Drosophila melanogaster: one gene and its partner. The protein of the gene in region 2 purifies or fractionates together with the protein of the main gene of each other region. This does not show direct contact. Each region holds a gene or a part of one and is shown on either strand. Other genes may lie near its edges.

Region 1 (5,216 bases), 9.3 Mb from region 2:
AATCGGAGTACGAATGCGATTTGGATTCCGATTCAGGGGTGACCTTGCGGAGCTTCCATTTTCGAAATTAGTTGCGTGTTTCTCGTCTTTTTTGCCATCAACTTGTGCATTATGACGGCGGGGCTTGTGATTGGATTTGGAGGCCATCTGGAGTTGGACTCGAACCTGGCTGCGGTTGGCTTTTAATAATGCAAAGTGGCCGATTTTTTCGACCTAATTTGGCTAATTGGCAGGCCGACAAATAAAGCATTGAGACATTGAAATTTCGGTGCTTCAGCTTCGAGCGGATTTTCACACATCAACACAGCTTCAAAGTGGGGGAGGCAAAGAATTTTCCGCTGCTTCTCCGTCTTTCCTGTTTTGGCTTTTTGGCAATTTTATGACAGGCACTGGGGAGCAGGAAGGCGGGAAAAGCTGCTGCCTGGTGAAGTGTTGAAAATTTACGAGCTCCGCCCCGCCCCAATCGCACCCCCCTGGCCCACTTTATTCAATTTCATTTCTTGCGCCAAAGCTGAAAAGAAATTCTGCAAAAGTCTTCGGGTCTCAGGAATTTATTGTTTGCCAGTTACGAAATTTATTTGTTGCTGTAAATTTACAATTCTTTCGCCGCTGCCAGGTAGCCCAACCCAAACACCCACACGTTCGTGTGCTCCAGGTTCGATTTCCATTTGATTTTTATTTCGTTTCAAAGCTCCAATTGTTTGGCAATTGTTTTTATAACACCACAAAAACGCTGAAAGGCAGGAGAAGAGCAAGCGCGGCTGCGGTGGGATGGCTTCGATGAGGATGAAGAAGATGAGGAGCGGAAAATGGGCACCGGAGCTCAAAAGGGAAATGCCAGAAATAAAGTTATGTAAGTCCGCATTATGTGTAAGTTCAAATGCCAAGAAGCAGAGTCGGAAATAATAAAACTGAAGCATGTCGGAGCATGTATTTGTGTTTAGGTTGCTCGTGGTCGAGGTCCAGGGATCGAAAATATTGGATAGGTCTGGGAGTGGCCATGAAGACGCTACGAGGAGGCTGGCTGAAATCGATAATAGCAGCGAACTAACATAATCTAGAGTTAAATACGTGAACTATTGTCATCAAAACAATAGTTAAAAGTAAAGAATCTAAAATTCTGTTCTCATATTAAGAGGGTATCCAAGTAACTACGATTTTCATTCAAAATCTATATCAACATAACTTAGTGCCCTGATTTCTGTCAGTGTACAATCAGGCAGGCTACTGTAACCCAACTCCTCTCAGAAGTCTCGAGCATTTTCCAGCCGCAGGCATTTTTTCACAGAGCGGGGACATCGTCTGGGATTCCCCCTAATTCCTGTCGGCTGACAGAGAGTATCCTTTTCAACTGCGCTTTGTGCGCTGGCTATTGTGGCTCTCGCTTTATTAATCAGACAAATCGTGAAAAAACGCGCTCAGTCGGAAAAAGGGAAATTATGAAATGCGAAACAAGAGCGGGCTCAATGTCAGGCGAAGTCCAAATCCCACTCCCATTGGGACTGCCGCCTTAATTTGTTTAATTTAGGCAAAATGTTTGGCCGCATTCGCCGATAAGGGGCGTAATTTGTTCAAACTTGTCGCAACTTGCTGGAATTCGCAACCCGCACGATTTTGTCACCGAAAAAAGGAATAATTTCTGTAACTAGCAGATGACACGGTAGCTCACTTGAATTGCGTTTGAGAAACATTGGAATCCTTTTGCACATACATAATTTGCTTTTAACTTTTTGACTAATACTAAAAATACACAAATGCCAAGTAGCAATGAATGGTTTTAGAACCAGTCTATCCTCTCTCAACGTACGTAGCTAATAACCAAATGTTCTCCATTTTCTTAAAATATTGATATCAATTAGCTCATTTGATTTAGGCACGTCTGTCAAAGAATTCGGTGATGTATACGAAAGCGATGGAAAACGGATCTCAGTATGTTTAAGCAGCATGGTACTCTTATCAGAAACGCTTTTATATTTTTCACTGATTTCCAAACATAATTTAAGTTACAAATTCATTTAATCCAATTTATGCATTGTAAAGTATTTCCGCACATCCTAAACTTTTTTAAATCACTTCCAGACGCTCTATTTGGGCCACTAAATTCCGGAGTTGTAGCTTTCGGTTTGATTCCACTGACCACACTGCCCACTGGGGTCGGCATACTCACTCACCTTGTCTTCCGTGTGTCCGCTGCGCTGTGTTGTTGGCCGTGTCCGGCGGACGGTGGGCCAAGTGCTGGTACTCGTAGTCGTAGTGGGACGACTGGGCGGCGGCTTGGGCGGCCTGCAGGTTCTGTTGGTTTTGGTGCTGGAGCGTCTGGCTGCCGTGGACCGGACCGAGGTCCGTCGTCGGCCGCCCGTGGCCGCTCATGGGGAGCGTACGTCCTTGGGCGTGTGGGTGGGCGTGAGCCGGAGTGGGGCCGCCGCCCACGTCGCGGCAGTCTAGAGTCGACTCATACTCGTAGGGATTCATGGCGGTCGCCTCCAGCGGACATTCGTCGTCGTCCGTGTCCGTGCCGCCGTCGTAGATGTTGTCCGTGTGGCGGTACGCGTGATGGGCGTGCTGCTTTGAGAACTTAATCTTGGCGGCTTGGGGGCTTTTGGCCAGACAGCCGGACAGGAGAAGAAGAAGAGGAGGAGGACTCCGCACGGGAGCAGGAAGAAGAGACTTGGTATGCGTTTGGCTACTCGCGATTATTCATGCACTTGCTGATGCGGATGCGGCTGCGGATGGCACTGGACGCACTGCACTCAAAAACATTTCTACTGGGCCATTTCCAGACGGTTAATCTGCGGGCGGGCTGCTGGTCCCAGCTCAATCACAATCTGCCGCCGAGGCCGCAATAATATTTCTTGGGCCTTTTCAGTAGTCGTACACTGAAAACACGGGACACACACGATGGGGAGCACAGGAACGCGACGGGAAAAACGGTGTTTTTGAATTGACGCGGTGTGTTTGTTTGCGCGACGATCGTAAAACTATGTCAGAATTCGTTAGACGCAGGTATCATTCGCTGCCTGATTCCCGACGATTTTCTATATTTTTCGACTGAAGCAACGCGCTGTTTTCGCTACTTTTCGTATATCCACATTTTCCGCGACGACAATTCCGACCGTGCGAGGCGAATTTCAAAAGACGAATGAGCTCAAAACGAACGACGAACCGAGTCTGTGGGAGAGAGAGAGAGAGCTAGAGAGCGCAAGTCGCTGCAAATATGAGAGAAAAACAATATGCTTCATATTCTCTCTTTTTCAGTTAAAATGCGTCGCTCTCTCATTTATTCTGATACTGCGCATGATTTGTGAGAGAGAGAGCGGTCGCGCACCAGCGTTGTCCATTTAGCTAATTTGCTGATAGTCTGGCCTTAGCTGGAAATATAGCTATTTTGCTAGAATAATAGGTGCTACTTATGTAGTTTAGGTTAATTTAATTGCAAAAGAATCACTCCGAATCATATAGATTTCCAGTCTATGACAGCGTTATAGAAAAAGATATGCAAGGAAATATAATAATATACTTTTAATACTCTTGTGCTTCTGTTAAGTTACCATCAATATTTGTTCTCAATGGTATGTTTAGCCTTTTTATAACCAGAAGAGTATGCAGCACTCAAATGAGAGCACTCATCGAATCTCTGGTTTGAAGGTTAAAAAGTGCGTTTCGTTTGGCTAAGGGGAAATGGATGTACAGCGGATTCGAATCTATCGTGCTGCACGCCAGTTTCGTTAAGATTATCTGAGGCGGCCAACAGCGCTGTAATAACAGCTTCACCGGCGGCTAACACCGACACTGTTAATTTTATTACAAAACTGTTAACCGGTTTACATAAAAGTGCGTATACGTATACCATATACCATATACCATAAAATATCAATGTAAATGTGGAGGTATTTAAGTTATTAGGTACAAACTTTAAAAGATAGCTTAGTTTATTCTTTATTATATATATTATATATTATATAATATATATTATTTATTATTATATATATATTATATATTCTCTTTATATATTGCCCTAAAATATCTAGGTTTTCCAAAACCTCCGAAAACTTTTAACTTTCAGCTTGCATTGAATAAATTGCAGGTTACACAAAAATATTAAAAACTACATTTTTAAAAACAATGGAATTTGTATTTCAAGGTATCTGAACCTCCTGTGGCCTGGGAATTACACAAAACAGTTTTTCATTTACTAATTATGCTGTCAGATTCTGTGGAGCATTTTCACGCAGCCAAAAAATATCCTCAGACTTCATTAGCGCTAGAAAAGTTAGTCAGTGGCGGCGAGGGGAGGCGAAAAAGTTTCAAATCGCTGACAAGTGAAGTTGTCATTCAGCACCCAAGCCAGAACCGAGCGGACCTGGCCAAAAAGTGTCCGAAACAAACAATGGTGGCCAGCGTGGGGTGGGTAGGTGATGAGGGGGCCATGGCCGAGAAAAGAAGCAGAAAATTGCGTTATAAGCAAAGTAAAGGACATTTCGCTAATGGCTTAACTTTTGAACGCAGGTCTCATCCTGCCGCCTCCACCGACCGCCCCCTAGCCCGTCGTGCAGGCAATTCTCTGCCATGTAGCGGAAGTTGTTGCTGAAGCTTTTTTGACAGCTTTCCCAGCACGAGAAGGATACGGCGGGGAAGAAGAAGAGATGCCGGAGAAATTGTCATTTCTTTTCCGAGTCTCGCAATGTGGCAACGCCGCGTGACGCAAATTTTTTTGTAGTCTGAAAGTATTTGCATAGGATATGGAGTCTTGCTTTCCCGATTTTCTTTGCTGTCGATGAAAAATCAATTTCCTGTTGTATGCAAAAATGTTTGAGCATCATTCAAGAAAGGGAGAGAAGCGTTGCTCGCCTGCACTTGACACATTGAATATTATCAGGAGGATGTGGATTCCGAGGGGGAATGTGACTTCTGATTTGGCTAGTTGTCGTAGGTTTCGATCTGAGTCTTCGTACAGGAACAAACATTCTTGGCTTGTTGTGCATATATTTAATTAAGGGGCAATGGATTAAACCTTTGCAGTTTTTTGAAGTTGAACCATTTGGGTTAACATTCAAAAATAACTCAAAAATGGCTTAATTCATTGGCTGTGTCTACCTTTTTATACCTTTTTTTTAATTATACTAGCTTGTAACTATTATAAGCAGCATCTACGATTCCCCAAAGAACAGCGAATTTCAACAGTAGAATGTGATAGTTTTTTGGTGGCTTAAGCAGCG
Region 2 (6,218 bases):
AAAATAGGGTTCTTGAGGGTTCCCAGGGGCAAACTTCGACGGTGAGTTGGCAACTTTCTGGTCCGCCAGGTGGCAGCTGCATTGCAGGTGACAATGAAGGGGTGGCTGTACCCATATATACACTTATACATATATATTTGTATATGGTAGTAGTTACACATGTGTTTCCATGCACATTGAATTGAAAATTATACCTCTTCCCCACTTGCCACGCTCTGCTTGAGTCGGGTCTGCAAAAGTTTTCAAGCTTGTTACTATTGAATAATAGTATATTAATTTTACTGCATTTTTTATTCCCCCGAGCACGGTATGCAAGCCCTCAACTTACTTTTAATTGAATTGAAAGTCAAAAGTTTTGAGCTCGTGGAAAAAAAAGTGAAAATGTCGAGACAAATTGACACAGAGGAAAAGTTGCCGGTGCACAGGGAAAATGTATAATTAAAGGCAAATTTCCACGGCAGTATGCTGGCTGAAAGGAAAATCTGCTAAATTAAGAGCAGAATGAACACACACAGTTGTATTTTTTAGTTTTCAAATGAGTTTTGTTTTCATTGCGTATATTTTCTGTTTTCGTTTGATATTTTGTTTTGTCGCTTAAATTTGCATAAATTTCTTGTTCTAACTAATACATAAATAGTTGTTTGCATCTGATACGATTTTGCATTTAACAATAAATTAAATAAGTTAAAATTAAGCTTACGTTGACTCTCAGTGCTTGTTGTCTTTATCTAAACTCGTATATCATTTACAATTCATCTTAAAGACTACGATTAACTTATGTTCGGAGGGGGACGAGGAAAACAGTAGTGTTGGCAAAGTGCTGATAGAATTGGAGATCCTTCAGTGTTCTATAGGTTCGAAAGAGTGCTTTAAAGTTAAGTATGTACAAGGCAAGATTTTCTCTGACTTAATGCCTAGGTTGTATTTCGATTACAGCTACTACAATGTTTTCCTTACGCCTAACTACACGCTAATTGTGTCTGGAGGGGAGTGAGTGGTTTTAGTGGGCTTCTTGGGGGTTTTGGCATCACAGTGTTGGGCAGCGGACTACTAAGCATAGATGCTCAGCTGCCTGCGTCGATAGGTCGAGGATCAGTGCGTGAACTGACGCAGGGTGTTGTTGTTCTGCTGCTGCTTCTGAGAGGCGGACTTCTGCTGGAAGGATCTGCGTCCTGTGGTGGCACACAGTCCATTCCGCAGGGGCAAAGCTGGTGGCATCGGTGGCGGCGTGGGCGTCTTGCTGCGACCCAGTTGCTCCAACGGCATCGAGTAGTGGGTATTGCTGTAGATGTAGTTGTGGTCCAGGATCTCGCTGCCCATCTCCTGATCGTATAGCTCACGCTGCTTGAAGTGCTCTTGGGTCAGTCGCAGTTGCGGCTGATTCGGTCCACCCAACGGGGCGCCATGCACCATGGGCACATCCGCGTATGAGTAGCAGGAATCACCAACTGTAGCCGTGGCCGAGAGGAACTGCGGCTTGGTATAGTGGTTCAGCTGGGGATTCTGCTGATGCACATCCCGACCCATGGTGGCCGACTTCATGTGCAGCACAAATGAGGCACTGTCGTCGATGGCTCCCTGTGAAACCAGGGCCTTGTTGTTATTCAGCTTCTTCTCACTGATCATTGTGGCGGTGGGCACTACCAACTGTTGGAACTTCTGCTGGGGATCGATGGCGCCCAGGTCATTGACAGGCATCGGGCACATTCCATAGTGATGGGTAGCTCCGGGATGATGAGGTGCGGTATAGGTGTTGGGGAACGTGGAGTGGATGCCCAGGGAGCAGGGATGATGCTGATGGCGCGACATGTAGTCCTCGTCGCAGAAGGTCTTCTGGTATTCCCGTTCCTTACGGCCCAGAGCCGAGTTACCCCACAGACCGCCCTTGATGGTTTCGCGGATCTTATGACGGCAGCGGTACAGAACCAAAGCCAAGGCGGTAATCGTGGCAGCAGATCCCACCAGGAGAGCTCCAATCAAGGCCTGCTTGCGAGGATCGGCATGTGTGCATCCCATCATAGCAGGATTCAAATGGCGCAAGGATTCACCGCGCAGACGTTCGGGGAACTCACACAGCAGTTCGGAGACATCATCCTGACTGGCATTCTTGGCCACCAGCAGATTGTGCAGCCACATCACACGGCAGTCGCAGGACAAGGGATTTTCGGAAAGGTCCAGAGTCTGAAGATCCTTCCACGGGAACAGACCTTCTGCCAAGGAAGTCAGCGCATTGGCCTTGAGAACAACATGCTTCAATTGGGACAGCCCACTGAGGGCACCTTCTTGAACCTCCAAAAGCATTTTGTTGGACGATAGATTCAGATACTCCAGGTTACCATTGTCGCTGAAGGCTCCGGTCATCACACGCTTCAGCCTAAGAGCTCCATTCACCTCCAGGCGTTTAAGTTGCTTCAGGCCCATGAATGCGCCTTCGCTGATCACCTCGAAATCGTTTTGACCCAGGGACAGCTGCTCCAGACGAACCAGCTTGCTGAGACCCACGGAGGGAATGCGATCCAGACGATTATCGGAAAGATCAAGAATGCGCAACTCCTGCAAGCCGAGGAAGCTGTCGTGGGAGATGTTGCGTAGACTGGCACCCTTGAGTTCCAGGCGAGTAAGTCCTTTCAGGTCCTGGAAGGCATCAGCCTGAATGCTCTGCAGGGTGTTCATTCCAAGGAACAGCTCAGCCAGACTGGGCATGGCTTGGAAGATCACGGGATCGGGAACGGTGGTCAAGGCATTATCATCCAGATAAAGGATGCGCAACTGGGAGAGTCCATCGAAAGCCTTGGGATCCAGATAGCCGATGCGATTCTCGCCCAGATTCAGCTCCTCGATCTTCAGGAGAGGAGTAAAGGTGCCCTGGTGAAGTTCCGAGATTTGGTTACCACGCAGATTCAGAACAGTAACTGCCGACAGACCAATGAAGGTCTTATTGCTGATCTGCCCAATCTTGTTGTGATTCAGATGCACCTCCTGCAGCTTCTTCTGATAGGCGAAGGTGCGCTGCGGAATGGTCATCAGGTGATTCGAGGACAGATCGAGGAAGGTCAGCTCCGCGTAGAACTGGATGGACGAGTCGATGGTCTTGATCTTGTTGCTCTTAATCACCAGTCGCTGGATGGATGGATTCAGAGCAATGGGCAGCACGTCCAGCTGGCCCTCGCCACATTGTACCACCAGGGTATTATCATCGCACTGACAGCCGGGCGGGCAATTGGCCAAGCCCGCCGCAGGCTCCACACCAATGCTGGCCAAAATGCACCAGATGCCCACGAAGGCGATCATCATGTTTCGCTGCATCTTGGGATCTCTGATTCTCTTTTGATTTCTGTCTTTCGGTTTGCTTCGCTCTGTGCTGCTGTTTCAATTCTTTCAGAGTTTCTGTTGATTTTTTCAGTTTTCCATAGTGCTGCGGGTAGACAAACGAGGGAAAAATTTTCAAAATTAGTTTCTGTCTTTTCTGTGAGTTCGGTTAATTAGCCTATTTTCGTGGAACTATTTCTATTGATTAAAATTTACAGGGTTCTTGAAGCAAACATTTTTATGTTTTCACAAGTATTTCATATTGGATATATTTTTAGATTTGGTGTTGGAAAAATCTATATTAAGTTGCTAATGTTTCGGTCCTAATAAATTCTCATTTTAGAAATTTCAAACTCAATAAATATTTAAAGTCAGTAATTTAACTGAACAAAATTAAAATGTTCCAATTATATTTTTCGTATTTTATATTTTCTGGCAGCCTAACTTTATTTTGTTGAAACTTTTCTTCCGGTATTCTAATTTCCACAATATTCCACTTTTTCAGCACTTTTATAAAATGCACATTGTATGCCACAAGTGAAACTTACCTAATGTTTTTCTTTGATGATTGCTTGGCAACAATTTTTAGTTTTCAGCAGATTAAATCGTTGGTGAACAGAACATAAAATGCAAAATGCAGTGTTTCGGTTTTTGTTTGTATTTTGTGATGTGTTTGCGTTTTCACTGTTTCACTTTTGGAAAAATATTTTGAATAGCCAATTTTTTGTTTTGTCACATTTGCTCAACTAAAACATGTGTGTTGTTCAAAATTAAAATTTTGGTTTGTTGTATTGCTTGTTTCGTTTTTTTTTTTTTTGTTTGCTGATTGTTTGTGAAACGTGCGCGATAATCCAATGGTTCGCTTTGACTGCACGCTTCAAGTTGTTGTTAGGCGTTCGACGGGTTTCCGTTTGAATTTACGTATTTCGTGTTACCAACTCTGGTAAGAGAGAGGAACTTGGTCGCAATTGGGTCTCTATAGCTGGCAGACAACCGCTCACGACGAGGCAACGAACTACACTGATTTTACGAAGTGCCTGCTGCACAAACGATACCTCGGCTGGCCACTTTTGCCGGGGTGGTTGAGCGGTACAGAGCGGTAACAGAGCCGTTTGAGCGGTATGAGATGGTGGTGGTGGTGGTGGTGGCTGGCAGCTGCATCGGACATGGGTAAAAAGAGCGGCGTGGCTGAGGCGAGACGGCCTTGCGAAGGCGAGTTCTCTCAGATAAACCCGCCAGCAGGTAGTCGGAACTGGTTGTGAGTGTCGGATACAAATGTATCTCTAGTTGTCTCTCTCGATGGAGAACTCAGTGTGGCGAGTTTCACTCGAAGTTTCCACTCATTTATCTGGCTATACGTGCCCCATATATCCAGGCTCGCTCTCCGACAATTGCAACTCACACGTTGAACGAGCCGCACGTCCTCGACGAAATGCTGTCGCCCATAAAACCTAAAACTAGAACTGAAATAGTCAACGAAAAAAGTAAAAAAAAAACAAAACTGAAGAGAAAACTAAAACAGCCCAAGTGCTGTGGCATAATTAAGACCCCATAAAAAGTACATAGTCCTACGCAGAATAGGAGCTAGATGGATATTTATGGGCCGCAGACATGTCCTGGCCTAAGTGGAGCCTTTTAGTGCGGTTTACAGTCCAAATGTGACGCACTTGAAATTGATATTTTTGTATCTGCGAGTTTGTATCTCGAGGACACGAAAGTGTTGCACTCGAGTATTTCTCAAAAAATATTGTGTCATCTGATACATTTGAGATGCATTTCTCATTCTTGGCATGCAGAGCAAACAACTATTTACAACTCGGCAAAATCACAAAAAAAAGAACGGGAAAAAAACAACTGTGACAACAAGAAAATCAACTTTAAATGGCCATAACTTTGTGCCAACATATGTTGCTGGATCAGAGGGGACCGGGGTGGGGCACATTTTCCGGGCCTTACGGCATGCGGTTTTCCTCCACATTTTCCACAGCCAAGCCCCCCTGCCCCACCGACATAACTGGCATATTTCCGTCTCCGAGAATTTCGCACACAAAATTTATTTATCGTACCGAGATGCAAATCTTTTTCGACTGCTTTTCTGTATCTTTCATAAACTAACCAATAAGTAAACTTGTTAAATTTATACCATATTACCCAAATTTGAGGCATCTTTGCGTATTGAAAGCCAAGGCAACTGTTAATAGTTGCTTGACCATAGGATTTTATGAATTTGATTTGTTGCCTTTGAGAGAAAATAAATACATATACATAATTTATGACAGAAGTAGTTTTGGAAAATTTTCGTTGCCAAGAGAGATAAATTTAGCCTTTAAACATGTATTTCAAAACTCGTCTTTACAATTTATTTAAAGTAAAAAAATTTGATTTGCCTAACTTTGTTGGCAAACATTTTTTTCGTTTCTACTCTTTTGCTGAACTGAAATCTAAATTAAATTGTTGGTTCAATTTCTACATTATTAAATGGGGTACACAACCTATTTTGAATAATAAACCAACTATTGGTTCTCATACTAAAACCTTACATTTGCTCTTTGATGAAACATTCATAAAATTGCAGGCCTTTAAAGATCTGTTTCAAGAAATTAAACAGTTTTGCTGACTTCTTAGAGAAAGGCTTTGGCGAAGTATAATAATAAACTTGAATACAAATGCAGGAAATGCAAACAAATTGCCATAACAGCGGCTTGTAAGAAAAGTATCTTTGGCTTGTAAACTGCCAAAGTGCTCTACATAGGTAAAGACTGCGTAGTTTCCTTTCAAAAACCAGATACGAAACACACAGTGATTGCTGCACATGCAGCTAACGGAAGTTTGCGTTTTTATTTTTATATATGTGCCACAAGCTGGGCTAGTCAGGTGCCACAAGCTTTTGGACCCCAGCTCTCACGTTA

The links.
Region 1: the proteins of trn (region 2) and Ten-m purify together in Drosophila melanogaster (affinity purification with western blotting; one study listed by BioGRID). This does not show direct contact.

What each region holds. Positions count from the first base shown.
Region 1 is NT_037436.4:22,404,721-22,409,936, forward strand, and holds the start of Ten-m (tenascin major), read right to left. Parts: upstream 3,144-5,216; 5' UTR 2,473-3,143; coding exon 2,172-2,472; intron 1-2,171. UniProt on the Drosophila melanogaster protein: Involved in neural development, regulating the establishment of proper connectivity within the nervous system. Acts as a homophilic and heterophilic synaptic cell adhesion molecule that drives synapse assembly.
Region 2 is NT_037436.4:13,112,386-13,118,603, reverse strand, and holds trn (tartan), read right to left. Parts: upstream 4,334-6,218; 5' UTR 3,858-4,333; intron 3,416-3,857; 5' UTR 3,307-3,415; coding exon 1,093-3,306; coding exon of another isoform or gene 1,051-1,092; 3' UTR 527-1,050; downstream 1-526.